2 linked regions of the Mytilus edulis genome follow. The protein of the gene in region 2 binds, or shares a complex with, the protein of the main gene of each other region. Links are inferred from orthologs where the notes say so. Each region holds a gene or a part of one and is shown on either strand. Other genes may lie near its edges.

Evidence for each region.
Region 1: trithorax group protein osa-like (region 2) and probable global transcription activator SNF2L2 share a complex: the UniProt entries of both Drosophila melanogaster proteins name them as parts of the brahma complex. The link is inferred for Mytilus edulis from reciprocal best matches to the Drosophila melanogaster genes osa and brm.

Annotation. Positions count from the first base shown.
Region 1 is NC_092344.1:5,664,540-5,680,697, reverse strand, and holds the start of probable global transcription activator SNF2L2, read right to left. Parts: upstream 7,591-16,158; 5' UTR 7,470-7,590; intron 1-7,469. UniProt on the Drosophila melanogaster protein: Transcriptional regulator. Acts as a coactivator, assisting one or more dedicated transcriptional activators of ANTC and BXC homeotic gene clusters. Can counteract the repressive effect of Polycomb protein.
Region 2 is NC_092353.1:43,282,099-43,298,440, forward strand, and holds the start of trithorax group protein osa-like, read right to left. Parts: upstream 6,183-16,342; 5' UTR 5,833-6,182; coding exon 5,101-5,832; intron 1-5,100. Other genes in the region: nucleolar and coiled-body phosphoprotein 1-like, read left to right, coding at 15,573-15,683, 16,296-16,342. UniProt on the Drosophila melanogaster protein: Trithorax group (trxG) protein required for embryonic segmentation, development of the notum and wing margin, and photoreceptor differentiation. Required for the activation of genes such as Antp, Ubx and Eve.

The sequences.
Region 1 (16,158 bases), on a different chromosome or scaffold from region 2:
CCAAAGGGAGATAATTTGGAGCTTTTTCAATGATATCTACATTTGAAAAGTCACCAGGGGCAAACACGTATTGATTTTTTTGGAACAATTTTTGTACCATATGATAAAGTAACAACTACTTAAGGTAATTAATAAAATTTGTAATGAAAAATAAATGTTCAATTTTTTTCTGAAAATCATTTACCCGCGAGCCAAATAAAAAATGGGGAATGTGTCCAAAGGGACACAGATGATGCCTCCGCTAGCATATAACGATATAAAGGGACATAACTCAAGAACTGTTAAAGTGAAGCTGCTAAAAATTGAACTTAAACTGAGTTTAGAGGTAATAAGCATTTCATTAAATTAAGTTGAGACAAACTTAAGTTATGAACGGAAACGAAAAAATTCTTCAATTTTTCCACTTGTAAAAGAGCATTATGTTGGAATAGTAATCAAAATACTTGTAATCACTGAATGGTAAAGATTGCTTTAATTTATCAGTTGGTAGTAAAAGTGAATATTGCATTGTATATTGTATACAGCATTGATTTAAGTTGATTCAACTACTATTCTGGTCAAAGAAAGATAACTCAAATTTTCAAAGAAATTTCATGAGGCATTGGTTTAAGGTGATTCAACAACCATTCTGGACAAAGAAAGATAACTCCAATTTATTGTCTGTAAACTAGAAAAATGCTTCTTTTTAGCCCTTAATTCCTAGACTGTTTGCCCAATAACCATTAAAATAAATCCCAACCTTCTATTTATGGTATTAAACAATGTGGTACAATATCAGAACAATTGAAAAACTAATACACAACTTCTTGTCCTGAAACTAGATAAATGCAGTTTTTGGCCCCTTTGGACCTCTAATTCCTAAACCTTTGGGACCATAACCCCCAAAATCAATCCCAAGCTTCCTTTTGTGGTTATAAACATTGTGTTAAAATTTTATTGATTTCTTTTTACTTATACAAAAGTTAGTATCAGGAAACAATCCGTGTTCGGAAGACGCTGACTATGACACCAATATACAACCAACAAATTTTTTTAAATTTATGCGGTCGTATAATTAAAGCTAGCAAAATTTACCACGACATGATACCAATATACGACCTCAAAAATTTTTGCGGTCGTATAAAAATGCAAACGTATGTAAAAGCACAAACATCCTGCGCCGTATACTCAGTGGTCATACATGTACATGTCATATTTGGGTTGGGGCATTACAAATGTACATTTTACCTTTGATCCTTCAATCCTTAAATTGCTTAATTGTTTTTTGTATGGATCACATTTGTTTTTTAACAGTTATACATTTCAGTTGAGAATAAGTAAACAAGGTTTTCTAAAAATTTTCCGCTTGACAAATTTACTGCGTTACTGCAATAAAGTTTATTGACAGGTTCTAGGAATTACTGTGGGCATCAATTGTGTCCCTTTAATAGCAAGCATGTTCCTGAACTGTTATGAATCACAGTTTCCTGCTGAACTTAGTCACAGATATCTCTGAATCTTTTTCCCCCTGAGAGTCCTTGAAGAAAATCTGGTAATCCTCACTATAATTTCTATTACTAATACCAAAATTGTGTGACTGTCTGTGGTTCACAAAATTTGGTGGTCAAAACCATGGGACCACTAGATATGCTCCAAAGCCTCACAATCATACAGTACTTAACATGCTCAATGTATGCAATTGAAAGATACTGAATAGATACATGTAATGACATTTTCAAAAGGCCCTATTTTTTCCCTTATTTTCTTACATTTTCCAACTCTATTTAAAGTTCCACTAAAGTCAAAATCTAGGACACTTAAAAACAAGAATGTGTCCATAGTACACGGATGCCCCACTCGCACTATCATTTTCTATGTTCAGTGGACCGTGAAATTGGGGTCAACATTATAATTTGGTTTTATAATTAGAAAGATCATATCATAGGGAACATGTGTACTAAGTTTCAAGTTGATGTAACTTTAACTTCATCAAAAACTACCTTGACCAAAAACTTTAACCTGAACTTCGCACTATCATTTTCTATGTTCAGTGGACCATGAAATTGGGGTCAAAACTATAATTTTGCATTAAAATTAGAAAGATCATATCATGGGGAACATGTTTTCTAAGTTTCAAGTTGATTGGACTTCAACTTCTTCAAAAACTACCTTGACCAAAAACTTTAACCTGAAGCGAACGGACGCACAGACGAACAGAGGCACAGACCAGAAAACATAATGCCCCTCTACTATCGTAGGTGGGGCATAAAAATCTGAACTTCGCCTGTATTGTATTTTTCAACCGATAATGAATAAAGTCCTAAACTATGGGAACATATAATCATTTAAATATACTTAACATATACATACTGTGTAAATTGTAAATAAACTTGAAAGTGTTATGTTGTGGCCAAACCGGTTGAAACATATATATGTGACAAAACAACATTAGCTTGTATTGCATTGCATGTAACAGTACCATCCATACCAATTTTTATCAAATAAAGTCTTCTCCCAGGCCTCCAGATATTTTTGAAAAATTTAGTGTTCACCCCAAGAACCAGTTTGGATGTTTGTGAAGTGTCCTATATTTTGACTTTAGTGGAACCTTAAAAAAAAATGGGGAAGGTGTCCATGAGGCACAGATGATGCCCCCACTTGCAAATCATATACAGGTGTAAAGGGACAAAACTGAAGTGACGCTACCCAAATTTGTACTAGATTTAAGTATTGTGTATAAATTCAACAAAAAAATTATATGTCTGTTTAAAGTTACATCATCAAAATAAATAGGGTACATGTAGGTAGGTCTGTTTTTCCATTTAAGGCATTTTATTATTTTTCTTCATTTTATTTTTTGTATTTTCAGTTGTGCGGTCCTTCTTACCGTGGTCCGAGTTGTCCATGGGCCGAGTTTACCCGAATTTTTAATGATTGGATTATTTCCCTTGGTTATTGGTTGGAAAAAAATGGCGGCGAAGTTTTTATTTCAATACACGAGTTGCCAGTTTCCTTAAAACGGCTGTCATATTCACAATTGTGAACAGGCAATTGATTAAATTTATTGGCAACCCTTACTTCGCTTTTGAGACAAGTTCTATTAATTTTTCACTTTACGACTGAAATAAAATGGCTTAGGGTCGGTCGGGTAACCGTAAACAGACATATATTTTTTTTTGGCCTAAAGAGGCATTACTCTAGAATTACATGTATACAGAACAGAACAGAACATATTTTATTTCCAATTAAGGGCCCACAAGGGGCATACAGAGTATACATGAATAAGGCAAAAGAATAATGATTTGCATAGATACATAGATACAAACAATTTTATTTTTTTTACATACAGTTACAATACAATTACTACTTCATATTCACTTTAATAAATTTACCAACAGCATTAAGGACCTGATTGTCTTCACAGTTTAATAAATAAATAAATTTATGCTGATTATCAAGTATAGAAAAATTTGGAATTCTTTGACAAACAAAGTCAAAGAGAGCATCTCTATCTGATTTAAAATTTTCACAGTTAGTTAAAAAATGGATTTCATCTTCAACACAGCCAGAGGAGCATTTTTTGCAAATTCATTCATTTCGTGGAATATTTGAAAAACGACCAACTTCAATTTGAAGCTTATGAGCAGAAATACGTAATTTGCATATAGATCTTCTAAAATCAAAGTTCTTAATTAAAGAAAGATAATTTTCATAACCAAAATTCTGCTTAAATTTCACATAATTAAACAGTTTTCCATCAGAAGCTTTATTTTGGCTAGCATACCAATTGCTAATATATTTAGTGTGAATTAATTTACTAGATATGTTCAAAAATTTATATTGTCCGAAATGTTTTACTTCTTGTTTAATTTCAAAAACTTCTAATACTTTTTTAACAAATGAGAACCAAGAAGTTATGTTAGATTTGTGAAGCTCTTGGCTGCATTTATAAGCATCTTTCAATAGACTGAATTCAGTTGTAAGATTTTCAAATCTATACCAGTATTTTACAATTGACTTTACAATATCATAATGTAAGGGGAAACGTCCCAGTTCTGATAATACAGCAAAATTGACACTCCTTTTGTGTACACCAAGTATAAATTTAGAAAATTTAAGATGGAGATTCTCACACTTAAGATTTTTAAAAATATTTTCAAGATTAAATAAGGAAGACTGTAATTTATTACAAGAGACATTATAACCTCCCCATACCTCTGAATTATATAACAGAATGGGTTTAAGGGTATGATCAAAAATATGAACACAAGATTTTATTCCAGGAGACAAATTGATAAAATCCTTTCTAAGTTTATAGTAGGCCTTAAAGGGATAATTCGCGATTTTTCACTTTTCATCTTATTATGTTCATAATACCATAAAAAACATATTCACCAAGTTTTATTTTGATATGAAATTTAATAAAGAAGAAAATTGGGAATTATTAATTTTATTTTTTGAAACTTCCTGACTTATGTGACGTAGTTTAAGTCTTTGATGCATGCCGGGAGTGAAAATATCTCATTTAAGTCTTGTTCGTTAACCATCTAATAACGCGATTTAAAGCGCATCGACGACTTTTGGTGTAGCTATTAACCAACGAAAAATAAGTGATAGCCATGCAACTTTTAAAATTAGATCGTGTGGATTTTTTAAAACGAATTTTAATAATAAAAGTAAATCATACAATAGAACATTTTTATGATTTTTTTTTTCTAAAAATACTTTAAACAAACATATGAAACTGACATGATCGATAGTGTATTAAAAATACATGTTTGTATTCTGACCTTTTTGCTTCATTCCAGCAATCATTTTCACTTACTTGTACGGTGGAAACAATAAAATGTGTATTGTTTTGTGACACCTAAAGAATGTGGAATGCGTAGTTTAACTCAAGGTAATTAAAAGATTAGCATTATGTAATTCTAATCTTTTGATCATCATTCAGTGAAATCTAGGCGTCACGGTTCACTGGCATTTCAGGTGTGAATAACATTTCGTATCAATTGTAAACGGGAGTCAGACAAAGTTTCAGACACATGAATGTAAAAAAAATTAATTAAAATTAATTAACGGGAATAATAAGATCGCACAATAACTGGATAGCTGTTGTATATTTTTTATATTTTGCACAAGATCACTTTTAATGAATTATGACTTTTGAATACTTTAGTAACGATAAAATACTGAATTATTTTAATTGAAGTATTTATAAATAAAAATAGCCTTCTAAACACGAGTTTATGAACTAAAAATTGTACTATTTCAAATTAGGATCGGCAGCCTTAAATATTTCAAACAGATCATTAACAATTGCAATTATATATTTTAGTCAATCCAAAGTGATCTTTAATTACCTATTTAGGAATTAATGTGCTCATCAAAATATTTTAAATCTCACAACACATGAATACTTCAGATATTTGAAAAAAAATGTTTTAAAAAATTGACAGGAAATAAAGGATCTAATTGGAATGGAATCAACAAATTACGAACAGATATGCTTTTCAAGTGTGAAAAACATCAACAAAATTTATACATAATCGGGAATGTCCTTCTTAAAATACTCTTCGTCTCACTCCGTAACTATATATAATACTTTAGCTATTTGACCAACGATGTTTAAAAAAAAATGAACGAATTAAATGTCATCTTTCCCTATTTTTTAATGTAATTATAAGTCTGTTTCAACTGGCCAGAATACCAGTAAAACGGACAAGCAGTTTATTCTGCAAACTGCTGTCATTGAATATCAAGAGAGAAAATAAATCCCGAAATTGATTTGAAACTTTGATACTCTATAGTTTTCCTGGAAAATATTCACATCCCTCGGTATTAGTGTACTTCCAGTTGCGTATATATATTACATACATGTATATTTTATAAATAAATTTCTTTTCACCAGAAATGTTATTCATAAACAAGCGTATGAGTTTAGTAATATCACTTTCGGACACGCAAGATAGATATGTATATTATACACCTAATAGTTCAAAATGGAAAGTTATAAGTTATCGGCCGTGTACACTTATCAATACACTAAGAAGTGAAACGATGCATGAATTTGCAAACTCGACAGGAAATCGCTTGAATACCTGGACGTGTCACCTCACACCCCCTCCAATACCTTTGGGAGTAATACCTTTAGCCATGCGGGTGATCAGTGGAGCGAAGATCCTAATTTATTTGAATAAAGTTTATTACATAAAAGAATTATGAACTAATTAGATTTTCGAAAACAATTCTAGTTTCACGGAAGACTTATTTATGATTTGAAATTTTGACTTTTTCACTAATTCCTATATTATCAGTCTAAAAATAACAGATCCTGGTTATTTAAAAAAAAAAAAAAAAAAATTTCCGTATCAAGTTAGTTAACTAGTCGGATAAAACAACCGTACGATTGACGAGCTATCGACACGCAATTACGACTACATCGGGTTACTGTAGTTTTGGTCCTTAGACATATCTTGACTGCAAATCGGAGAAGGTGACAAAATGGCCGACCGCAGAGAATTGATACTCTAAATTTAAAATCGATGGTGATCTCTTATCTAGCAGAATAAAACTTTAATATCTATGAATTTGAGAATTTTTATACAGAATAAACATAATATCAATTTTTGATTTTTTTGCGAAGTTTCCCTTTAAGAGCCTTATTATAAAGTTCAGTTTTAGCTAGATGAAAACTTCCAGAAGCAGTAAAGTGAACACCTAAATATTTGTAATGAGCGACACAGTCAATCAAGTTATTCTGCAGTCGAAAATTCTCCTGAATTTTCCTTCCAGCCTTATTAAAAATTATGACTTTAGTCTTTCTAATATTAACTTTCAGGCTACTATATTATCCGCTACGGCACGGGCATTAAAACACTTTGATGCACGTTTCTATATCTATTTATTTGAAATAAATAATCTGAATTTCTTAAGGCTTATAAGTTAGTTTTCTTGTCCCTAAATTAGTCTTCTTGTGCTAGATGAATCTTCTTGATCATGTTGATGTTTCTTGTCGTTTCTGATAGCTTATTAATAAAACCCCAGAAGGCAGCACATATAAATTTATAATTTGAACCTTTTTATATTATACAAAATGTATGATCACAAGTTAAGTAGGGTAAAAGAATATAAAATTATAACAATGAATAAAATTCAACAAATCATTTATACAAATTTGTATTCTATATGATATGATATGAATATTTTTGAATATTGCTGAAAAATATTTCTGAATTTGATAGTATGACTTCATAATCATATACTGTACACATTATTATAACTACGATGGAATAGAATGATGTCTATAAACATAGATGGCTAAATCACAATGGTAGTTTCAATGGAAATATTTCCACCAAGAAGAGAATCGACACCACAGACACGAACAAAGAACCGACTTTACAACACACATAAATCATTAAATTGTGTTTAACGATCATAAATAATTAGAAACCGCGCCAAAGACTAATCCAATACACAAGTAAACTTACCGGTGTCTGTAAATAAAGGTAAATTCTATAATTAGGTCAACAATAATCAAAGCATTTGTTGAGTTGTCGATGGCTTTATTTTCTATGCGCATTCATCTGACGCAAGTCACTTCAACCTTGACCTCAAAAAAAGGTTAAATTTAAAAGTTGTCTCCCATTGAAACTTCCGGCGTCCATAGAAGCGGTTCATTACAAATATTGCTACATTAATTTGCCTAAAAGGTAACATTTAGATTAATATATAACTGTTAGGATTTGAAAATTTTATCAAAATTCAACAGTTTATCGCCGTTTATTCACGTTAAGCACAAACACTTTGCAAATAGATTTTAAACTTTATTTGATTTTTGTTGGGTCTGCATGTTGTAACTTGCACGATTTTTCATTGGCATCTCCTCTTTACCGACTTCACACACAAGCAGATTCGTCCCCTAGCGTCTCCAAATGAGTATTCAATTCGACCATCTATTTGTCCCCCCAAAGTAACACTTTAACAGGATCTCCTGTAGTTGGTGATCGCAATACACCTTATCGCTATTTGTCCGCCATTACTGGACATCACACAGGGTCCCGTAAAATTTTGACGTCATAATTCAAAATATCTGACGCCACAATGGAAAAGTGATTGTTGTATGACGCCAATAGTTCAAGCGGAACAGATTCTCGGGTCAAGCGGAAATAGCGATAAGGTGTATACTGGTATACCAGTATTGTCCACAATACTGGTATAAAAATTTTGTACCAGTATTGTAACTTTTTATTAAAAAAACCAGCAATACTCGTACATTACTGATATACCAGTATTGTAGTTGTATTGTTGACTAGACTATATTGAAGATCAAAGGGATATTAAATGAACTCAAAAAGATTATAGAGGATAATACATACCTGCCAACTTTTGAAAGTGTCCATGGGGGTTTTAGCGCACGACAACAATTTCAAAGGTTACATTAATACTTTGCGACAACTATTTTGAGTGTGCTGTTTTGTGGTCTAGAAAAAGTGTCATATTTGTGAGATGAGCTTACATGCCTTTTTCTTAATTTTATTTGCATGATTCTAGTTATTATATATCAGTAGAAAAGATGAACATGTGGCTGCAAGACCAGGAATTAATTTCATGTGTAAGGATATTAAATAATTGTTTACTTTTCCAATTTAAAATTATGCACAAAGAAGGACCTTTATCAGGTTAGGAACAACACTTAGGGGTAACCCCTCAATGTAAGGACATTAAAACCCACTTTTTAAGTAAAAATGAGCACATATATATTCATATTATTTGAAGAAACTTTTCCCAAAGAACTATACATCTTATGATCTATCTGGTATTATACAGTATGGTCAACACATGTCCAAGAATTTTGATATGTTCTTGGCCTTATATCTTCTATATTTTCAAAATAATTGGACCCTTCATTTAGAAAGTTGTTCTAAATATAATGTCAGAATTTCCCAATTTTAGGTTAAAAAATCTACATTTTATGATTTTTCTATTTTATTTTTTACAAGAGTAAAATGACCCCTTGACTAAGAGAAGTCCCTCATTTAAGAGATTTCCATGTGGGGGGTTTTGTTTTGTCCATGTGAAAAATAAAGAACAGTACATTGTACTTTAAATAATTTGGTAATTTAATTGAATACATAAATTTATAACATTTGTTACAGCAAGTGTAATATCAATAAATTAGTGAATAAACTAGTATTTATTATCTTTATGGTAGTACTGCATCATTGTAGTTTGTCAATCAGTCATGCTTTTATTCTTATTTTGTGTAAAAACTTCCTTGCAGGTGAAAAACCATTTGCCATGTTCACGATTTGAACAAACAGAGGAATACAACACAAGTTCAAAATCTAGGATGTTAGAATATTCTTGAGAGAAAACTTTTTTGATTGGCTGATTAATTTGATCATGAGAAACATAGAATTTGATTGGCTGAACACAATTGTATTCCATTGTACACAGTTCAAAATCGGGAACAGTCATATTTTTCGTGTTGATTTTCACAAAATCGTGTTTTAGAGGGTTTTTCACGATCACGATCGTGCAATCGTGACAAAGGGTCAAAATCGTGTAGTACACGCCTAAATCGTGAAAGTTGGCAGGTATGATAATAATTAATTGTGAAATCAATTAACAACCAGTTAAAAGTCATTACTATACTTGCACAAATAAACAATTGCTAATAATTTCATCATATTTCTATATTTTATATAATTTAATATAGATAAAATAAAATAAAAGCTTATTATCATCTGAGTAATAATTCAAGCAAATCATTAGACTCGAACACTGTAAATTCAGCATTTACATGTATGCCATCACATATTTGACAGATATTTTTATACATGTATACATTTTTTGTCTACTAAGATCATATGCATTTGTTTTTCTTTATTTTCTTATTAATTTTTCACAACAAAAGATAACTATATTATTCATTAATTGTAAAAAGTTGCTTTATAGGGGAACCTTGTTATAATCAAATTTACTAGTTTGTCTACATGAATGTTAAGGGTTGAAGCAGTTGATTCAGAACCATGGACAATACAAATAGTAGCAGATACATGTATATCTACTGGTACAAATACTAGACCAGCATTTTGACAGTAAGAGAGCTGTACAAATGCTATCTGAAATAGCTTGTAATCTAGTAAGCGTTAGAGAAAGTCCACAGAGAGTGAATACCTAAATACCAATATAGGAAGGGGGAGGGGTTACAGAAATCACATCTGAAGAAGAAATAGACAATACCAATGCTAATGATACAGAAGCTATAACAGCATTAATGTCAATATAAAATTCACTAAAATATACTTCATGAATCTTGGAAAGAGAGAGATGAAAGAAAAAATAGAAGAAAGTACAGAGTTTGTTAAAATGCTGAGACAGAATGGTTAAGAAAAAAACATCAGAAGATTTAAAACTTTATTCGGTACCACGATTTCCTGAGAAATACGAAAAAAACATTATATCCTGAGAACAAACTAATGTATCCCGAGAAAAAGATTAGTTATGGTGTTATGCTACTTTTTATACATGTTATAGTGTTAAAGGGAAAATTCACGATTTTTTACTTATAGTTTAAATATGTTCATTATGACATAATATATATATTCACAAAGTTTTATCGCTATATGTGCAGCAATAAAGGAGAAATTCAATAATTAATGAAAAAATATTAACAACTTCCTGTAGGTCGTGACGTTTTCTCCTGGTTTTTGCATGCCGGGATTTAAAATACAATCAATAAAAGTCTTGGTTTTTAATGATATTTTAACGTAATCGTAAGCGCGCCGATGACTTATGCTTCATCTAATAACCAGCCGATAATAAGAAGATAAAACGCACAGACATCCAATGTACATATTCATGAGATAAATTTTCTATGTTAATCGTATATATCCGAATTAATTTTTTAGACAACACAAAAAGTTATAAATTTATTTTTGATTAATGCATTATCGGACTGATAAGGTGAACAAATTAAAGTACAATAATCTGTAAAGACAATATGTTAGTGTACTCTTATTGACCTTTTACTGTCTCTGCTATGACTAGGTTTATACGATGTGTGTATTCACGGTTCTGTGGCAATACTCGTAGATGGCTTGTTTAAAGGTAAATTGTTATTTGCACTTCGGTATTTAACCACGCCTCTAGGGCACACCTTGCCAGGTGTGACTGTCTATTGGGATTAGTGGGTTATAAAACAAGGGAGCATTTAATACACACATTTAAACTACATATTCAAGTTGGTGACAAATGAAAATAGATCGCCGTGGAATTATTTAATTATATTTGGTGCTATTATTTATTTGAATTCAAATAAATTAATTTACTAAGAAATAAACAATTTTCGGTTAAAGACGGGAAACTTAATTCATGTGTCAGAATGAAATGATATACACCTCTTGTCCTTGATTTATGTCTCATAAAAAAGGGGAACTTAGAAATTAGAAATAGCTTTACCAAAGCATTTTGATTGTCTTTATCAGGCCAAAAAATGTACGAGAACACTTACATTTAGACTTTTGAAACCCATGTATTAATTAATATCTGAAACTATCTGAAGACAACTCTACCGAAGCGGAATATAATATGTACGAACAAAGAAAAAATACTTTTGTTTTTAAATCTTTGCACATTAATGATTAATGATTGTTATCTATTGTTCATTTAATTACTTAATTAGTACCTAAAATATGTCTACCGCTTGGCATTTAATCTTGGTGTGGTAGGAAACGATTATTACATATAGATTATATTATTTGGATGAGGATTTGAGCTAGCCTATAAAAACACATTAATTAGTTAACATACATTCGAGACCAAAGGATATTAACTTTGATAATTCAATTAACTTATTCACATATTTTTCTCTTATGATTTGTGCGTGCTTGTTTCTATAGGACAGTGTATATATGGTCCAAAAAATAAAATCATAACTAAAAATATCTTGTTCGGAGAATGATAGTACTAACAGTGGTTCCAGGTCGTCAAGAGAGGTAGCTTTTGACGAGTATGGTCAATTTGGGTACGCACTAGAGCCAGAGTATACCGAAGAACAGCTTTATGAAATGGAAGCTGCAGAAAGTTCCCGAAATCAAGATATCCTTAGCAACCCTCGCCATTTTGGTAAACGGACAGAAAGTCACAGGACAAAAAGTCACAGGACATAAAGTCACAAATTTGATAGGACAAAAAGTCACAGGACAAAAAGTCACAAATAATTTTTTTACAATTTTTTGAATATATAAGAGAAATATCTTGAAATACTTACTTTTTAATACATAATTTCATATTAAAGTCAATGAAATTTATCATTTTACTTGAGAAAAAAAAGATTTATTCAATTTTAATCATGCAAAGGTCATATTTGTTGGCACCATGAAGCCATTTAAGTGCCAATCTACCTCGACATTTTGTTTTCTTAACAATTATTTGATCATCTTTGCTATTTTTTTGATAACTTTTGCTTACAAAGCTGGTTCATATACAATACTTCAAGAAAAATACAAAATTTTTTTTGTAAAAATAAGCATTTTTTATTCAAAGAAAATAATCAGAAAAAATGAATTGTGACTTTTTGTCCGTGACTTTTTGTCTGTGACTTTTTGTCCTGTGACTTTCTGTCCTACATTCGCCATTTTAACCCGACAGATTTGTGTTCGTGTACTAAATGCATAGTTATGCCGTTATTGACAGAATGTCTTTGTTGCCACGAATTTACTCTCTTTGATGGTAATATTGAATTGGGTGAATGCATTAGTGACAATATCGATTTCAGAACAGTTTGCCTGAACCCGGTTGTTCTTGAAACCAGCTATATTCAATTCAAAATATTTTATTGTTCAAGTATCAAATGTACATTTAAACAAAGGGATTGGACAACAGGCAGCTATATAATTTTTTCGAGGTACAAGCGCCATAGAGGGAGAGCTCCAGACGTACTAACTCAGAGCCAAAGCCGACTAATGGCTTATCGTCAGTTTGTTTGTTGGGTCAGAAAAGGACAACCACTTGGCAAGAGAAACAGAGTGACTATTCCAGCTTGTGTTGTTAACATTATTAGGGAAGCATTTCCGTCACAAGATGGTGTTTATGAAGACTTCAAAGAATGTGAAAGTGACACGTCAGACTCAGAATAGTTGTAAAATAGACATATGCTAGATTTGAGGCTCAAAATATTCTTTTGTATATGTATAGATAAAATATATATGTCTGCTTTAATTCTTTCATGTTCACATTTAGTTGAATTATACAATATACTTTTACTATTGTTCACTGTTGAAGGCCATACCGTGACTTATATAGCTGCTTAAGTCCACTTCATTTGGGTACGTGTCTCCCAAGAAAACAAACCACAACTTCTTATTTAATCAAAGGACTCATCTTTTTGCGAAAGTTTGGTATGCAAAAGTAAAAAGTTATAAATGGGTGTCTTGCAATATTGAAGTGATAATCTATTTGTCAGATCTCTTAAATCTTTTGACGAAATCAAACCATCATGGTATATTCTGCTTTTGTATAGACCCGTCACCGAAGTGTACTAAATGATATTCATATTATACATGTTAAATAAATGAACAAATAATAAACCTATCTTTTTATTGTTTTTACGCCCATGTCTGCTCATCGCCAGATATAAAGTTTCTCGCACGAAAAAATGGTATTAATTCCAGTGTCAAAATTTAAAGAACTTATTTTCCATGTTTTCTGGTATTGTACGAAAGAGAATTGACCTAACAAAAGAACTTCTATCTTAGGCTGTTAGTAACACATGTAGAGCAGTGGGTCGTTGTTGGACATATAAATCTTAGAAAGTGTATCATCTGTTAAATTTGCAGGTCACTGAAAGGGGAAGTCCCATAAGGAAGTAGGTGTTGAGAATGATTTTTTTTATATCCAGTGACACATATTACATGCGTATTCTTGAACGTTTGATATATCATTTACTTAATGTTCTCATCAAAATATTCGTTGATTAAATACTGTTGGCATACGTGGACTAGTCTATTTACAAATCTTTGACCCCAATTTACACAAAATGTATGTTTCTTTCTTATGTTCAATGTATATATGTATATATTTTAAATTGCGCTATAGTTCCGTAACTTTCTATCCAGGCGTATAAACGAATCGTCGACAAGTGCGTACATTTTTTAAATCAATATTTCTGGTATGTTCCAATCTGTCCTTTACTATTGACAACGAGTATATATTACATTTTCCCAAATTCACCCTTGGAAAAAATATGTAAATAGATTTTTATTTCTTCAAATCTTTTTTTTGGGGTATTATTTATATTTTATAAATAATATTCTTTACATCAGAAATGTTATTTATATACAAGCGTATGAGTTAAGTTATAACTAGTATATTGTATCACTTTCGGACACGCAAGACAGAGCTGTATATTATAGACCTGATAGTTCAAAATAGAAAGTTATAAGTTATCGGCCGTGTACACTGACCAATACCTACAGAAGTGAAACGATGCATGAACTTGCAAGCCCGACAGGAAATCGCTTGAATACCTGGACGTGTCACCTCACAATACCTTTGGGAGTAATACCTTTAGCCATGCTGGTGATCAGATGAGCGAAGATCCGAATTTATTTGAATAAAGTTTATTACTTTAAAGAATTATGAACGAATTAGATTTTCGAAAACAATTTTCACGGAACACTTATTTAAGAGTTTAACTTCGACTTTTTCACTAATTCCAATATTAACAGTTTAAAAATAACAGACTATGGTTATTTAAAAAAAATGAGAACATTTTCCGTATCAAATTAGTTAGTCAGATAAAACAATCGTACGATTGACAAGATATCGACACGCAATTACGACTACATCGGTTACTGTAGTTTTGGTCCTTTGTGGTTTATAGACATATCGTGATTATTGATCGTAGAAGATGACAAAATGGCGGAACGCAGAGAATTGATACTCAAAATTTAAAATCGATGGTGATCTCTTATCTAGCGGAATAAAACTTTAATATCTATAAATTTGAGAATTTTTATACAGAATGGACATAATATCAATTTTTGATTTTTTTGCGAAGTTTCCCTTTAAGTTGCAGGCATGATTTCTTGGTAGATTCTGACAAATAATAAAGTATAAATTTGCATTTTTATTTGGTCCTGTCATTATCACGTTTTCTAAAGATTCTTGAAAAAAATCTATTTTTTTTCCTTAAATTTACATATCAAATGATTTGAGATTAATCCTTTGAGAAATGAAAAAATTTTTGCATTTTTAATTTGGTCCTGTCTTTCGGTCATTTCATTCGGTCCAGTCATAATAAGTGTAACCCATTTTCACACAAGACATAAATGTACATGTACATATATATAAAAATCGATTTTCTGAAGATTGCGTGTATTTTTTTAATTATGAACGCCTTAAACCTTATTATTGTATACTGTAACACTAATTTAAGCAGTATAACATCTATAACACCATTAAAAATCTTTTTCTCTGGATATATCAGTTTGTTTTTGGGATATTACGTTTTTCTCGTAAATCTCAGGAAATCGTGGTACCCAACTTTATTTGATGACAATCACAGTGTACCATCTATGGCATCATCAGTTAAACACAATAATTCCTAATAAAATTGTCATGTCATACAAAATGTATGTTAATATCATTATGCATATATGTGACACCTTTAATAAAAGATTAATTACCTATATTGTTTATTTAAAAAAAAGCACAATACTGGAATACAATACTGGTACAAAATTTTTATACCAGTATTGTGGACAATACTGGTATACCAGTATTGCGATCACCAACTACAGGAGATCCCTTTAACACAACATACCTTTTAATAGAATAATAATAACAAATTAACATACATGTATGTCCTTTTCTCATGGGTTTTCATGGTATTAACTTAAGAATGCATTGTGATGACACAATTTCCATTGAAAAAGCATGCATAGTTGGAATTTGTATTTACATTCTAATATTCGACTAGACATTCTGCAACTAATTATTAATCCATTCCACTATGATAATTGTTTTAAAGTGTTAAAATTAATCAATATAGATAAATACATGCAGATAACATTGTCTCCAGTTGTTTCGAATAATATACCGTGTATTCCTTGTTAAGATCTAAAGACAAAGTATTTTTTTGGTAGCAGTGAATTATCAATAAAATTTTCA
Region 2 (16,342 bases):
ACTACCTTGACCAAAAACTTTAACCTGAAGTTGGACAGACGGACGAACGGACGAACAGACGGACGAACGGACGAACAGACGGACGGACGAACGGACGCACAGACCAGAAAACATAATGCCCCGCTACTATCGTAGGTGGGGCATAATAAAATCGAATATGGTTAAGATAGTTGGTATACAACTTTTTAAAACAAAAATATGTTAATGAACAGCTGACAAGTTTCCATAGTTTGACATTTATTTACGCTTCCGTGTGCATTATTGTTAAAACCTATCTTTGGCAGGTAGATATAAACCAAACCTCCTTAAAGTTAAGACCATTGGAATTATTTACTAGTCACATTATACAGAAGACCGACGATTCCGTACCCGTGTTGATTGTCACATAAAATGTTCCCAACGCACGGACTCATGATCGATGTTCAATGAACATTTTATTCCTAAAAATATGACAGTTTGAAACGAATTTACCTTGTAAGCAACATTTTTCACTTTCAATTAAAATAAATCACTTCTCGTTATCTTTAATCAAAGTTTATTTTAATTTTTTCAACTACAAATACTCTCATTCATAATTTTCATCGTACATATCTTTAGCAATGTGTATTCAAATCTATCACGTGTTTAAATAGATTCTTCTTCTCGACCAATGAAAAAATTTGTCATATAAATTGTCAAGTAATCACACACACGATGCTTAAATACAATGTATTTGCGATCGATTTCTTCAATTTCTGCACTGAAGTTTTTAATTTTTTTTAATTTTCTTCTGAAAATATCTATCTTCTTGATGATCATTTACGCTATTACATGATAACATAGTCCGATAAGGCTGAGATAAGCATGGCTCAGGTAAAACTATTATAAGTTATATAGTTCGCTACTGACCCCATACGGATCCATAGAGGGTTAGTAAAATCCATAGGGGGTGAGGCCGGAGGCCGAGTCCCCTATGAATTTTATTCACCCTCTATGGATCCGTAGGGGGTCAGTAGTTGACCGTATAACGAATTTATCAGATGCTGGACTTTTTCTGCGGCGTTTTGTTGAAAAATAAACAATGAAACACAACAACATTAATAGATGACGTCGCCATAAACGCGTCATGAACAGTCTGCACCAAAAACTTTTTCAACTACTAGTCCGAAGACCAATATTCTGACATTTTTCTTATTGGACCAAACAAAGTTTTGCAAAAACTTACTAGTCCGAACCAAATTTTACTAGTCTGGGGCATCGGACTAGTGGCTAACCGTGCAGACTGCATGAACCCCATATGAAACTTACTAACCCCATACGGTCTCATAGGGGGTCACCACGTGACGACATTTAACCAATCACAACGTGATAATTCATCTGTGGTCCGATAAATTATCAGATATTGCGTAACACTGACCGACCTCTCAGCAGTGATCAACAACTGGACAATTTTAACAAACTTTAATGAAAATGTGAAAATTAACACGCTGCGGGATCAAGTAGTAAGGGACAGCGGCCAATTAAGACGTTGCGGGATTAACGAAAATATTATGAAGGTGCTGCAGCACCGCAGCGTCATATCGGCCTGGGGAGAACACTGGAAAGTACAATGAATAGACAGACAAGGGTAAAACTTAATGCCCAATCCACTACAACAGGGGCATAAAAAGTAGAATGAATCATTGTGAGATCCGTTTCTACGAAACATGGATAATTGCTACAGCAGAAACTTTTGAGTAGCATCTTAGAACAGAATGATATGCTACATTAAAAAATTTAAAATTTCTTGTTTTTCATAATTTATCTTGTATAAAATTGACAATGGAAATGGGAAATGTGTCAAAGAGACAACAACCACCATGGAGCAGACAACAACCAAGCCAAAAGGCCACCAATGGGTCTTAATGCAGCGAGAATCTTCCGCACCGGGAGGTGTCCTTCAACTGGCCCCTCAAGAAATATGTATACTAGTTCAGTGTATGCTTGCATTGTATCAAGAAAATTTAACTGAAAATACAGTGATGACAAGCATGAGTTTTTACCGCAAAGATGACAATCCTAGGATGTCACTCACTTCACCTGGAGTTGCAACCCCTGATCATAATGTTTTGTTTGATTGAATTCATTGACATACATAATCACTGGGGTAAAGCTGATGACTGTAACTGCATTTACGGTCATCCCAAGATGTCGGATGAAAAATTAGGTCAGTATCTGTATTGTCTGTTACAGTGTTTCTATATCATTTTCTTTACAAAGTATACATTGATACGATGTAAATTTATAAAAGATTCAAACAGAAATCACAAATTACTACCGAAAAATGTTCAGGAAACGCAAAATTCAATTTGAAAAAATCGCTAAGATGTCCGTAAATCATTATCAAAATATTTTCAAGATGACCGTAACATAAAACAAGGATGACCGTGATTGGTAAACAGATGACCGTAACTTGTAAAAGATGACCGTAATTTGTAAAGATTGACAGTAATTAATAAAGGATGATCGTAACTTTTAAATGATGACCCTCAATTTTAAGAATATCCGTATTTGTATTCATAGCTTTTTGTTGTGTTTGTCTCAATAGGGGCTTAGGTAGCGGATATAAACATGTTTCATCAATTTGTTTGTAACTGTTTGCCGTATTTTGAGTTCATGACAATGATAGTAAATTGCAAATTTCTCGTTAACAATGAAATATTAATTTATTGCCGATGATAACGACTTTAAAATTTTAATACAAATTGACAGAGATACGACGAAAAGTCGAAGAAACAAGAATGTGTCCCTCTGAAGTGTCTCTAGTACATGCCTCATCTACACTATAATTTTCTATGTTCAGTGGACCGTTAAAATGGGGAAAAAAACTGTAGTTTGGCATTATGATTAGAAAGATCATATCATAGAAAACATGTGTACTAAGTTTCAAGTTGATTGGACCTCAACGTCATCAAAAACCTCCTCGACCAAAAAAAAACTTTAACCTGAGGCGGGACAGACGGACGAACGAGCAGACGAACGGACGAACAAACGAAACGGACGCACAGACCAGAAAACATAATGCCCATGAATGGAGCATAAAAAACACTAATCAAACATACGAATATACGGCAGTGTATGGTAATCGAGCCTGAGGAAGCAGATTAAAATCTTAGTTTGTCTTAATATATATATGAATAACATGAATAACATTGCTGTATATACAAATTGACAAGGTTCCCCTCAGTGTAGGATCCAAAAGGGGGTCCCTTTTTATTTACCGATCAGTGCATTTGAATGGGGACACATAGTTTGAACCCCCTTTACCCTGGGTTGGGACCCCCCTTTTTTTTAAATGGCTACATCCGACCGCCCCAGCCCCTTGTGATACGCTATACGCATAAGACTATTTTAAGGATCTACTTTGCTGGAGCTCGCCTTCACTAGTTTGGTCGTAGTATTTTAAAAACAGGTTCTGTTATTTTACTTGCAAGACAAAATAGAAGACAAATCAAAGACGATATAATATCAATGGCTGTAGTCTACATCCATTGGCATTTTTAAAAAGTGCATTTATTATATGTCATTACAAGGAATTCCAGAAATAAAAAAAAAACCTTTTGGCTTTTAGTTAGAGGCTGTGCAGGACACTTTTTTTTTTTTATTATACTTGTTAGGTGTCATTTAATCGCGCTTTTGTTGCATGTTTTCCCCACTTTTTCATGTGCATGTTTTGTTGTATGTTCATTTTAAAAATTATACCCTCTACCGTAAAAAAAGATATATATGGTGAACTCTGTATTTAAAGCACGTCTTATTTTCTCCTACCTATAGGATAATACTCTCATATAAATATGATTTATATCAACACCATTAATCATTTGATACAAAAAAAGTAGTCATACAAATACGGATATTTCTTAGAATTGACGATCATCCTTTAAAAGTTACGGTCATCATTTAGAAATTACGGTCATCCTTTACAAATTACGGTCATCTTTTAACCAATTACGGTCACCCTTGTTTTGAATTGCTGATTCTGTTACGGTCATCTCGATTGTGATTTACGGTCATCTTAGCGATTTTTTTAAATCGAATTTCCCGTTTCATGCACATTTCTCGGAAGTAATTTGTGATTTCCGTGTGAATCTTTTATAAATTTACATCGAATCAATGTCTCCTTTGTAAAGAAAATGATATAGAAACACTGTAACAGACAATACAGATACTGACCTAATTTTTCATCCGACATCTTGGGATGACCGTGAATGCAGTTACGGTCATCAGCTTTACCCCAGTGATAATAAAACATTGTTATCAAGTGAAGGGTTTTACAACTTCAACAATCATCCTTTTACACAAGATTTACCAGCAAAAAAATTGTCAATTGAGGGAAAATCATTTGCCATTTGAAAAATCTTAGCAGAGCAGTATATATACATGTATTCACACAAATAAAATTTACATAATAGTCAAATCAAAAAGATGCACAGAAGATTATTTTAATTAAAAATGAATTTAACACAAGCAACAAACTCTTAAAATATCGGAAAACAAAACTACCAGAACAAAGTCTCAGAAAATTATGAATCTTGTTAAAGTCTTATATAAAAATCAATAATATTTTAATGCATGAAATATCAAATTCCATAAAATTACTCATGCATACAGAAAGGTAAACAATTTCAAAGCATCTGTCAATAATAGATTTACTTTCATTTTCTTGGATGTCATTCAACAATTTAGGGGATTTCCAACATCTATGCTTTTATTATCTACACAAATGAAAATAGATTATCCCAGGACTGAGATTAATTGATTGCTTTATGGTCTTCCCAGCCAATCAGACAAAGGTCACAACAGTCTTGCCTCCAAATTCAAAATTGATTTTTCATTCATGTGATAAAAATGCATGACCAATAAATCCTGGTAATAATGAATGCAATATTTCTTTCTATTTATGTTTTTTATAATTGAGTATAGCTTATCAATAACCGCTTGGAAGAAAAAGTAATTATGAAACTAGATTGATAAGATTATTTACAACTCTGGCGGGCAATACAAACATGATCAATAGATTAGTGTCACATGGCAGTTAATGACTTCCTTTAGTCAAAGTGAAAGTAGATAAATACAACTTACCTGACCCCTATAGGGAGTCCCTGGACCTTGTGGAAAACTGGCTGGTTGTCTATTTCCAGTCCAACCTTGCTGCATGTTATATGGTGTCCCTTGCGCTGTCATTTCGGGTGCCACTTTCTGGTGATATTCACCATAATTATTTCCCTGCATCCTCCCCGGTGTGTTTGGTGTCTGCAGAAGCTGATTTAGTGTTGGTGTTGGTCCAGACTGCTGTGAAATGCTTTGTCCTGACAACATTGATCTTTGTCCTTGTGGATAGGATTGTGGCATTCCTGGACCACCTGGGCCCATTTGTGGCCTCATAGGCATCATGTTCGGTTTGCCTGGATGTCCACTCTTCATTCCAGGCTGCATATACTGAGCCTGAAAAGTATTTTGATTAATAATTTCTGAACTTCCTGCCATTCCGCCATGTTGATCGCCTGGGTTAAAGTTTTCACGATTATACGGATTGTACCCTTGCATTTGCCCTGGATGCATCATTGGGTTCATTCTTCCGTAGTTGTCAACCCCCATCATCTGTTCCCTAGATGATGGAGGATAGTTATTCATATCAACGTTCATGTTAGGCCCTTCAATTTGATTAAAATATTCGCCTTGTTCATTGCTCATGTTTTGTTGGCCTCCATCTTGAAACGAGTCCATTGTGTTTCCCCGTAAATTCTTCGGAGATTTAAGCTTTTTGCTCTTGACTTGTCTAGTATGCCCTTTACCAGGGCCAGCATTTTCCATACTTCACTTACCGAAAAGTTCCTGACCCTCCGGTCGACTCCAGTTGCTTCAGTTTCCTGTCTTTGTTGTATACACAGAAGAGTTTCTTCAGCATAATTCTATTTACCCACCCTTCTAGAGCGAGAAATTGACCGTGACACCTATGAATAATCAACTCACATGTTTCGGGATACTTTTCTTGAATTGCGGTGCGTCCTAATATTGTCAATAAACACGCATGTATCGAACTGAGGCAGATTGCAATAGGGTAAATCTTAGTCAGATGGCAGCATGGTCTTATCAAACAGTGTATTATGTTGTTCTCTTCAATAAGCGGGAATATCGGAAGAGAATAGCGATTCATACGCCTCTATAGGGATCGTGAAAATATTGGTTATGGGTGCTATGTATACTTTAAAAACAATAACAATCATTTCCTGTGTCAAAATATACAATTTGAACACGGAGCATGACTTCTATCAAATTCGGGAATTCTTTTGCGTAAATTGTCCACTGAGCGCAGATATACTAATATTGAGTTGTGAAGCGTCCGAGGCATTTCTTTTCAACACGGCTTGTTCAATTAGCTAATCGTTTCACCTCCCACGTATTGTTTCAAAAAAGTGACAATTTCATAATGGAATGGCTTGATTTTGCATCAAATGTAATTCAAATCCGAATTCAAAATTCAAATAACATCTTTAAAGATTTATTCGAAGCGTTTCTATGGCGTATATATTGTAGAAAACAAAAATTTGACCTTTACTCTGGGGAGATGAACAGAAGAGCATTTGATTGCCTGAAGGCTTTCTATTGACGTCAATCAGACGGGAAAATCTGATATTATTGAGCATGCAAATGTATCTGTTTTCATTTTTTCCTTGACAGTATTGGTGCATAGATCGCATGTAGCAGTTTATTGACTTTGAAAATTTCAAACTAAAGTTAAAATAACGAAGATAAAGTAAAATGTCAGAATTTTCGAACAAAGAATAATTGGTGCAATTTTAGGAGATAAAATCCTATTTGCAATATTTAACCAGGCTGTTCCCGTTATAAAACGTCCACCCTCTGAAATTCTCAAAAATTATTTTGCACGGGAAATAACTCTAGGAAAAATATGTGATCTACCACATGAGAATCATATGACGCTAAGATTTTCTGCCAAAAAATATTGGTTGTATTTAAAAATATTTTTATGAAAAAAGTAAATTAACTCAAATATGTATTCTGGCCAAACGAGAAAAAAACCTCGTATGTAGACATATGTGGTTTAATGTTCAGAATTTAAACAAATTTTGTAAAATTGTAACTGGCTTGTAAATGCAGTTGTAGTGCATACTGGAACCTGCATGTGAATTTGAAATTTAAAAAAAGACTGAAAGACTTTTTTTAAAACTCGACCAACCTTCTGAAAAAAATTGATAGGACAGGAATCAGTATATTAAAATTAATTTCTTCCAATTGAAAGAACTAGTCCAGCTATAAAACATAATTTGGCATTGCATTGAAATATAAGTTGTCATCGAAAAACTTGAAGAACTTGAGAAATCTATTTACTGCATCGGTTCGTGGACACAAGCCTAAACCCTACAAAATGTCATACTTAGAGGAGATTTCAATCTGCCACATCTCAACTAGCAAACAACCCGAATAACCCACAGAATGAAGAAGCTAATCATAATTAAATCTCATATAACTACGACATGAACCAAATAGTAAGTAAACCAACTAAAGGACAAAACACACTAAACCTACTCATGACAACCAATCCACTGAGGACTTATTAGTAAAATCGAAGTAGCAAAGATATGAAAGCCAAACTTCATCAAAAAGAAACCCAGTGTACCTTTTTAAAAAGACCGCTATGATTGGACCCAAAGAAAACTTCCTAGACAATTTTGGGAACTGAATTAACAGCATGGAAGAATACACTGTAGAAGAAAACTGGACATACTTCAAAGAGATCATGTTACAAGCAACTATTTGTATATATAAATAATTCATCATGGGCCTTGGCCCACATATAACTCGGTATAGGTAGAAAACAACATGTGATTTAGATCTCTACACATATCAAAAGACAGACACGAAGCAGACAGCGTAGATACAGTGCTGCTAAAACACAACACCAAGAAAACAAAATGACACAAGTACAAACAGATGAGAGACTTTGTCAAGAAGAGATGAACGAGGCCCACGACAATTATGTTCGATAAATCCTAAATCAAGAGGACGAAGATAACACTTAACCAAACATTGGCAAGAAATTCTGGAAATATATAAAATCAAGCAAAAAGACACAATGGGAATATCATCCCTCCAGAACAACCTCGGAGATCATGACAGCAAAGGAAAACAGAAATATTGAACACTCAATATGATGGTGTCTTCACGACAGAGGATACAAAAAATATACCACATATGGGAACCAGTACAACTCCAAACAATAGGAAGTAACATATCAGATCGGAAAGAGTTGAGAAAAAGTTTAACTTTGACTAATAGACCCAACAAAAGCAAACAGTCTAGATGAACTACCAATCAGAAGCACACTGCGAAATTGCACCGTTCATCACACAAAATTCTATGAACCGTCTTATGACAGTGAAAATGTTTCTGAAGATTTGCGACAAACAAACAAACGCAACCGTTCCTCACACAAAAGTATATGAACCGTCCTATGACAGGGGAAATGTTTCTGGAGATTGGCGACAAACAAATACAACTGTTCATCACACAAAATTCTATGAACCGTCCTATGACAGTGAAAATGTTTCTGAAGATTGACGACAAACAAACACAACCGTTCCCCAAACAAAATTATATGAACAGTCCTATGACAGTGGAAAGTTTCTAAAGATTGTCGACAGGCAAACATCACAGCCATTGACAAACAGGGGAACAGAAGTCAAGCAGTAAACTACCGTCCCGTATCGTTAACCACAATATGTTGTAAATTCATGGAACACATAATCTATATGCACATCATGGAACATCTTGAAGAACATCAAATCTTATCCTACTTCCAACACGGATTCAGACATAACCGATCATGTTAAACCCAACTTATTAACACATAGTAACAGTTGTAAGAGAACTGGACCATCGAGGACAAATAGCATGCTTATTCTTGATTTCTCAAAATCGTTCGATACATTCCCCAACAAAGACTTCTGAAAAAAATGTCACACTAGTGAATAATATATAACACTCTACAATAGATTTCGTCATGGCTAACTCAGCGACACCAGAGAGTATGTCTAGATGGAGAAGCCAGTGAGAACAAATCCGAGTACGATCCGGATTTCTACAGGTCCGGTATTGGAACCACTTTGTTTCCTAATATACACCAACGATAAGACAGAAACAATGTCATTACATCAACCCTCCCTCACCCTCCGTCTCTTTGCTGACGACTTGCTACTACTAATATATAGATCCATTAAAGGTATCGAGGACAACTTACAACTACAACAAGATCTGACAGAACTGACTAAACGGGTGGAGCGGTGGCAAATGACATTCTACCCAGCTATTAAAATGCTACACACTGAGGGTAACAAGAAAAAAAAACCAAACGATAAAAGAGTATGAAATGATGGGACAACAACTATCCACAGTTCACCAATATCCATACCTCGGAGTCGAATTATCAGAAGATCTCAGTTGGGATTCACACATTAAGAACGTTATCACAAAATCCAACCGAGTATTAGGATTCCTAAGACACAAACATCTGGAAGTGTCTACAAGATATCAAAGCGCAGGCATATACATCGCTAGTGCGCCCACATCTTAAATTAAGTACGCCTCTGCAGTATGGGATCCATATCGCGGAATACATCACATTGACTCCCTTGATATGAAAAAAAAGATGACCGACTGCCAGATTTGCGACATCAACATACAGTACCAGGGATAGTTACAAACATCCTGAAAACCCTAGAATGACAAACGCTATAATTTAGACGGAAATCAAGTAGATTGAGCATGTTTTACAAAGCCACACATGGAAAGGCGGCAGTCAACATACCAACATACACGAGAATAAAATTGAGAATGAAAATGAAGAAGGTGTCAAAGGGACAACAACCCGACCATAGAGCAGACAACAGCCGACGTCCACCATGCGATGGGTCTTCAATGCAGCGAGAAACCCCCGCTTCGGAGGCGTCCTTCACCTGGCCCCTAAAAAAATATGTATACTAGTTCAGTGATAATGGACGTCATACTCAACTCCGAATTATACACAAGAAACTAAAATTAATAAGCATACAAGACTAACAAAGGCAAGAGGCTCCTGACTTGGGACAGGCGCAAAAAATGCGGCGGGGTTAAACATGTTTTTTTTTTAGATCTCAAGACCATCTACCTCAATAAAACAATACCATCTAGAACAATTCACTCATATCAGTACCTCCACAGATGCCTACAAATACAGCTATATACAACGCACCATCATCGACTGGCTCTGCCTCTCTGTAATGTGTCAAAGAGCAACTTCTGAAACTGCAGCTGTAAACAGAAACCACCTGTTACTATCCAATTTTAAATGAACTTGTAAATACTTAGCACGCAGGTTAACGTTTAAACAGCAGTATCTGTGTTATGTTTTAAACTGCCGATCAATAGTATAGATGTAGATGTTAAATAAAAAAACAATACTCTAAGTATACAACAAAAAATGATCTTAGATTAATAACAAGATACCGATGATGATTAAGTTAAAACATTTTGTAAAGTTCGGAGGATGTCTTCTTCAAAAACAATCTGCATTACTATGGGAACCAACTGTGCTATACTCGTCTTGCCACTGTTTGCTCTCATTCATTTGTGATAGACTTCTTATTTCAGGTCAGGAAAAATGGTTAGAAGCTAACATTTTCCTTTCACTTCACGTTCCGCTGCATTTATTATGATGTCCTGAGCGCTGACTGTATCGTTCAAAAGGTTAATGACGGTTGGCTGACCAATCTATCACAAGATCCAGTTAATAAGCCACTCTAAAATACTTACTTGTGTATATGACAATACGGGTTGATGGACATTACTACAAAAGGACTTTATAACTCTCCCCCTATACATCTAGTCAATGTAGAAAAACCCTACACACACAGCAATACGCGCAGTAAAACTCAGTTTAAAAGAAGTCCGAGTATGGCCGAAATGACTTTACAAAGTATGGCCGAGCTGGCAGTACGGCCGATATGATTTTACAAAAGTATGGCCGAACTGGCATATCAGAAACGATTTTTACAAAAGTATGGCCGAACTGTCAGAATAGTCGAAACGACTTTACAAAAGTATGGCCAAACGGCGGTATAGCCGAAACACTTTGTATGACCGATCTGACGGTATTACCGAAACGACTTTACAAAGTATGGCCGATCTGACGGTATTGCCGAAACGACTTTACAAAGTGTTATATACTAAAATTTTGTCTTTGGCAATTCATAATTTTACTATAACAAGTATGGCCGATCTGACGGTATTGCCGAAACTTTACAAAGTACAACATGTTTTTTTTTTAGATCTCAACTCTCCCCCTATACATCTAGTCAATGTAGAAAAACCCTACACACACAGCAATACGCGCAGTAAAACTCAGTTTAAAAGAAGTCCGAGTATGGCCGAAATGACTTTACAAAGTATGGCCGAGCTGGCAGTACGGCCGATATGATTTTACAAAAGTATGGCCGAACTGGCATATCAGAAACGATTTTTAGAAAAGTATGGCCGAACTGGCAGTATAGTCGAAACGACTTTACAAAAGTATGGCCAAACTGGCGGTATAGCTGAAACACTTTGTATGACCGATCTGACGGTATTACCGAAACGACTTTACAAAGTATGGCCAATCTGACGGTATTGCCGAAACTTTACAAAGTACAACATGTTTTTTTTTAGATCTCAACTCTCCCCCTATACATCTAGCCAATGTAGAAAAACCCTACACACACAGCAATACGCACAGTAAAACTCAGTTTAAAGAAGTCCGAGTATGGCCGAAATGACTTTACAAAGTATGGCCGAGCTGGCAGTACGGCCGATAAGATTTTACAAAAGTATGACCGAACTGGCATATCAGAAACGATTTTTACAAAAGTATGGCCGAACTGGCAGTATAGTCGAAACGACTTTACAAAAGTATGGCCAAACTGGCGGTATAGCCGAAACACTTTGTATGACCGATCTGGCGGTATTACCGAAACGACTTTACAAAGTATGGCCGATCTGACGGTATTGGCGAAACGACTTTACAAAGTGTTATATACTAAAATTTTGTCTTTGGCAATTCATAATTTTACTATAACAAGTATGGCCGATCTGACGGTATTGCCGAAACTTTACAAAGTACAACATGTTTTTTTTTTTTTAGATCTCAACTCCCCCCCCCCCTACACATCTAGCCAATGTAGAAACCCTAAACACACAGCAATACGCGCAGTAAAACTCAGTTTAAAAGAAGTCCGAGTATGGCCGAACTGGCATATCAGAAACGATTTTTACAAAAGTATGGCCGAACTGGCAGTATAGTCGAAACGACTTTACAAAAGTATGGCCAAACTGGCGGTATAGCCGAAACACTCTGTATGGCCGATCTGACGGTATTGCCGAAACGACTTTACAAAGTGTTACATACTAAAATTTTGTCTTTGGCAATTCATAATTTCACTATAACAAGTATGGCCGATCTGACGGTATTGCCGAAACTGTACAAAGTACAACATGTTTTTTTTTTTTAGATCTCAACCATCCCCCTATCTAGTCTATGTAGAAAAAAAACCACACACACAGCAATACGCGCAGTAAAACTTAGTTAAAAAGAAGTCCGAGTATGGCAGAAATGACTTTACAAAAGTATGGCCGAACTGGAATATCAGAAACGATTTTTACAAAAGTATGGCCGAACTGGTAGTATAGCCGAAACGACTTTACAAAAGTATAGCCAAACTGGCGGTATAGCCGAAACTCTTTACAAAGTATGATCGATCTGACGGTATTGCCGAAACGACTTTACAAAGTATAGCCGATCTGACGGTATTACAAAAACGACTTTACAAAGTATGGCCGATCTGACGGTATTGCCGAAACGACTTTACAAAGTGTTACATACTAAAATTTTGTCTTTGGCAATTCATAATTTCACTATAACAAGTATGGCCGATCTGACGGTATTGCCGAAACTGTACAAAGTACAACATGTTTTTTTTTTAGATCTCAACCATCCCCCTATCTAGTCTATGTAGAAAAAAACCACACACACAGCAATAAGCGCAGTAAAACTTAGTTAAAAAGAAGTCCGAGTATGGCAGAAATGACTTTACAAAAGTATGGCCGAACTGGAATATCAGAAACGATTTTTACAAAAGTATGGCCGAACTGGTAGTATAGCCGAAACGACTTTACAAAAGTATAGCCAAACTGGCGGTATAGCCGAAACTCTTTACAAAGTATGATCGATCTGACGGTATTGCCGAAACGACTTTACAAAGTATAGCCGATCTGACGGTATTACCGAAACGACTTTACAAAGTATGGCCGATCTGACGGTATTGCCGAAACGACTTTACAAAGTGTTATATACTAAAATTTTGTCTTTGGCAATTCATAATTTTACTATAACAAGTATGGCCGATCTGACGGTATTGCCGAAACTTTACAAAGTACAACATGTTTTTTTTTTAATATCTCAACTCTCCCCCTATACATCTAGCCAATGTAGAAAAACCCTACACACACAGCAATACGCACAGTAAAACTCAGTTTAAAGAAGTCCGAGTATGGCCGAAATGACTTTACAAAGTATGGCCGAGCTGGCAGTACGGCCGATATGATTTTACAAAAGTATGACCGAACTGGCATATCAGAAACGATTTTTACAAAAGTATGGCCGAACTGGCAGTATAGTCGAGACGACTTTACAAAAGTATGGCCAAACTGGCGGTATAGCCGAAACACTTTGTATGACCGATCTGGCGGTATTACCGAAACGACTTTACAAAGTATGGCCGATCTGACGGTATTGCCGAAACGACTTTACAAACGGTGTTATATACTAAAATTTTGTCTTTGGCAATTCATAATTTTACTATAACAAGTATGGCCGATCTGACGATATTGCCGAAACTTTACAAAGTGAAACATGGTTTTTTTTAGATCTCAACTCTCCCCCAATACATCTAGCCAATGTAGAAAAACCCTACACACACAGCAATACGCGCAGTAAAACTCAGTTTAAAAGAAGTCCGAGTATGGCCGAAATGACTTTACAAAGTATGGCCGAGCTGGCAGTACGGCCGATATGATTTTATGGTAAGTATGGCCGAACTGGCATATCAGAAACGATTTTTACAAAAGTATGGCCGAACTGGCAGTATAGTCGAAACGACTTTACAAAAGTATGGCCAAACTGGCGGTATAGCCGAAACACTTTGTATGGCCGATCTGACGGTATTGCCGAAACTTTACAAAGTACAACATGTTTTTTTTTTAGATCTCAACCATCCCCCTATCTAGTCTATGTAGAAAAAAAAACCACACACACAGCAATACGCGCAGTAAAACTTAGTTTAAAAGAAGTCCGAGTATGGCAGAAATGACTTTACAAAAGTATGGCCGAACTGGAATATCAGAAACGATTTTTACAAAAGTATGGCCGAACTGGTAGTATAGCGAAACGACTTTACAAAAGTATGGCCAAACTGGCGGTATAGCCGAAACTCTTTACAAAGTATGATCGATCTGACGGTATTGCCGAAACGACTTAAATTTACAAAGTATAGCCGATCTGACGGTATTGCCGAAACGACTTTAAAAAGTATGGCCGATATGACAGTATTGTCGAAACGACTTTACAAAGTGTTATATACTAAAATTTTGTCTTTGACAATTCATAATTTTACTATAACGGAGCTTGTTTATTTTATCCATGCCCATCGTCATTTTGCACCAAATTTATGAAATTTTGGAAGTCGTTTCGAATAATTCTCTAGAAAATATTTCAATAGGTTTCAAAATTCATATTGTAAATATACACACTGCAGTTATTCATACATAAATACAAAATATATTGTACCCTTACATCCAATCACAGCGCTCCTAATTTGACTTCCTTCACCTACCTTGGGTACACAAAAGGCCAACCTATAATGATGGGGAAATTTAATACTACCGTTTTCCCTATATGTGACTGTCCTCTACAAATAGATTTAAAAAAAAAATGTTGAGTAAATATTCCCCTAGGACTGAAGGTGGCACGGTAGTATTTGCATTCCAGAATTTAGGTACTTAGGTAAATGTATCTAAACAGTGTGATTGGACAAAAAATACAGTATCAACTGAACATACTTTCCCAAACTGAGGGATGAATCAGGTGTAGAAAAATATGAAATAATTTTACATACAGATGAAAATGAATTTTTGAGAATTTTTTTTAATTTTGTATTCAGTGCACCATAAAATACCTAAAAGTACTAGTGGCCTTAGGTTTTTAAAAATAGCAAAAAAAGTAAACGGTCATGATACATATTCAAATTCATTTCTGAATAGTAAAATGAAAGTACTTCAGTTAACTGTGAATGTAGAATTTTTTGCAGTGTTAGAAAGTGGTGAAAATTTTAAAAAGGCTATCATTATCCCTTATGGGCCAGGAAATACTACCGTGCCACCTGAAGTCACAAATGCCGGATTTATCACCGACTCGATTTACTGTTTATTTCACTAACATCCGGTCCTTTTATTTGCGTGGTCTCGAAATGGCTACAGCTGGTGAACCTCAGAAAAAAGAAGTTTTACCTTTTGTCTACCAATATCTGAAAGATTTATGTTTTGATGGAGCAAAACAATTAAAGGAAAAGTTCAAAGTAGTAAGTTTGAATTATTTAAAGTTCCCCGTACTGCCATAGTGATAGATCTGCATCAAACTTCAGAGGAAAACAGAAAACACGTGGTTGTGTTGTTACATGAGCACGAGAGTTCCTCGATCTGAAGGAGGAGACGTATCTAGTCTCTTTCCATTTCTTTATGTTTCTATGTGTTCTACATTGCAACCAGTCAGAAAAAAATGGACTCAAGCATATAATTTTTGGCTTAAATCTGACCCAAAGAAAACTATTTTATTATAAATACAAAAAGGGGGAGGGTCGAGGTAAGACAACGTATATCCCAACTGAAGAGATGCAGGTCGGTTGGAAAGTTGGTAATATCATATCTGATCTGGATTTTGATATGTAGGGCCCTGACCATTTAAAATTTGAAACAGTAAATTTAAAGAAAAAAAATACAATAACCTGATTTCTAAATTTCTAAAAACTTCGTAAACAAAAAAAGTTATGGCACCCATCAAGCAACAACCCTTGGATGACCAGTTGATATAGAGAGCTATCAAATTCTGTGTTTACATGAAGCTGAATAAAACTGAAAAATGATTAGACATTTAGTCATTTATAATTATACATACACACTTTTTTGTTTTGCAGAACCCACCACCTAAAGGTTCACCAAAGCTTGAAGATGTTTATACAAC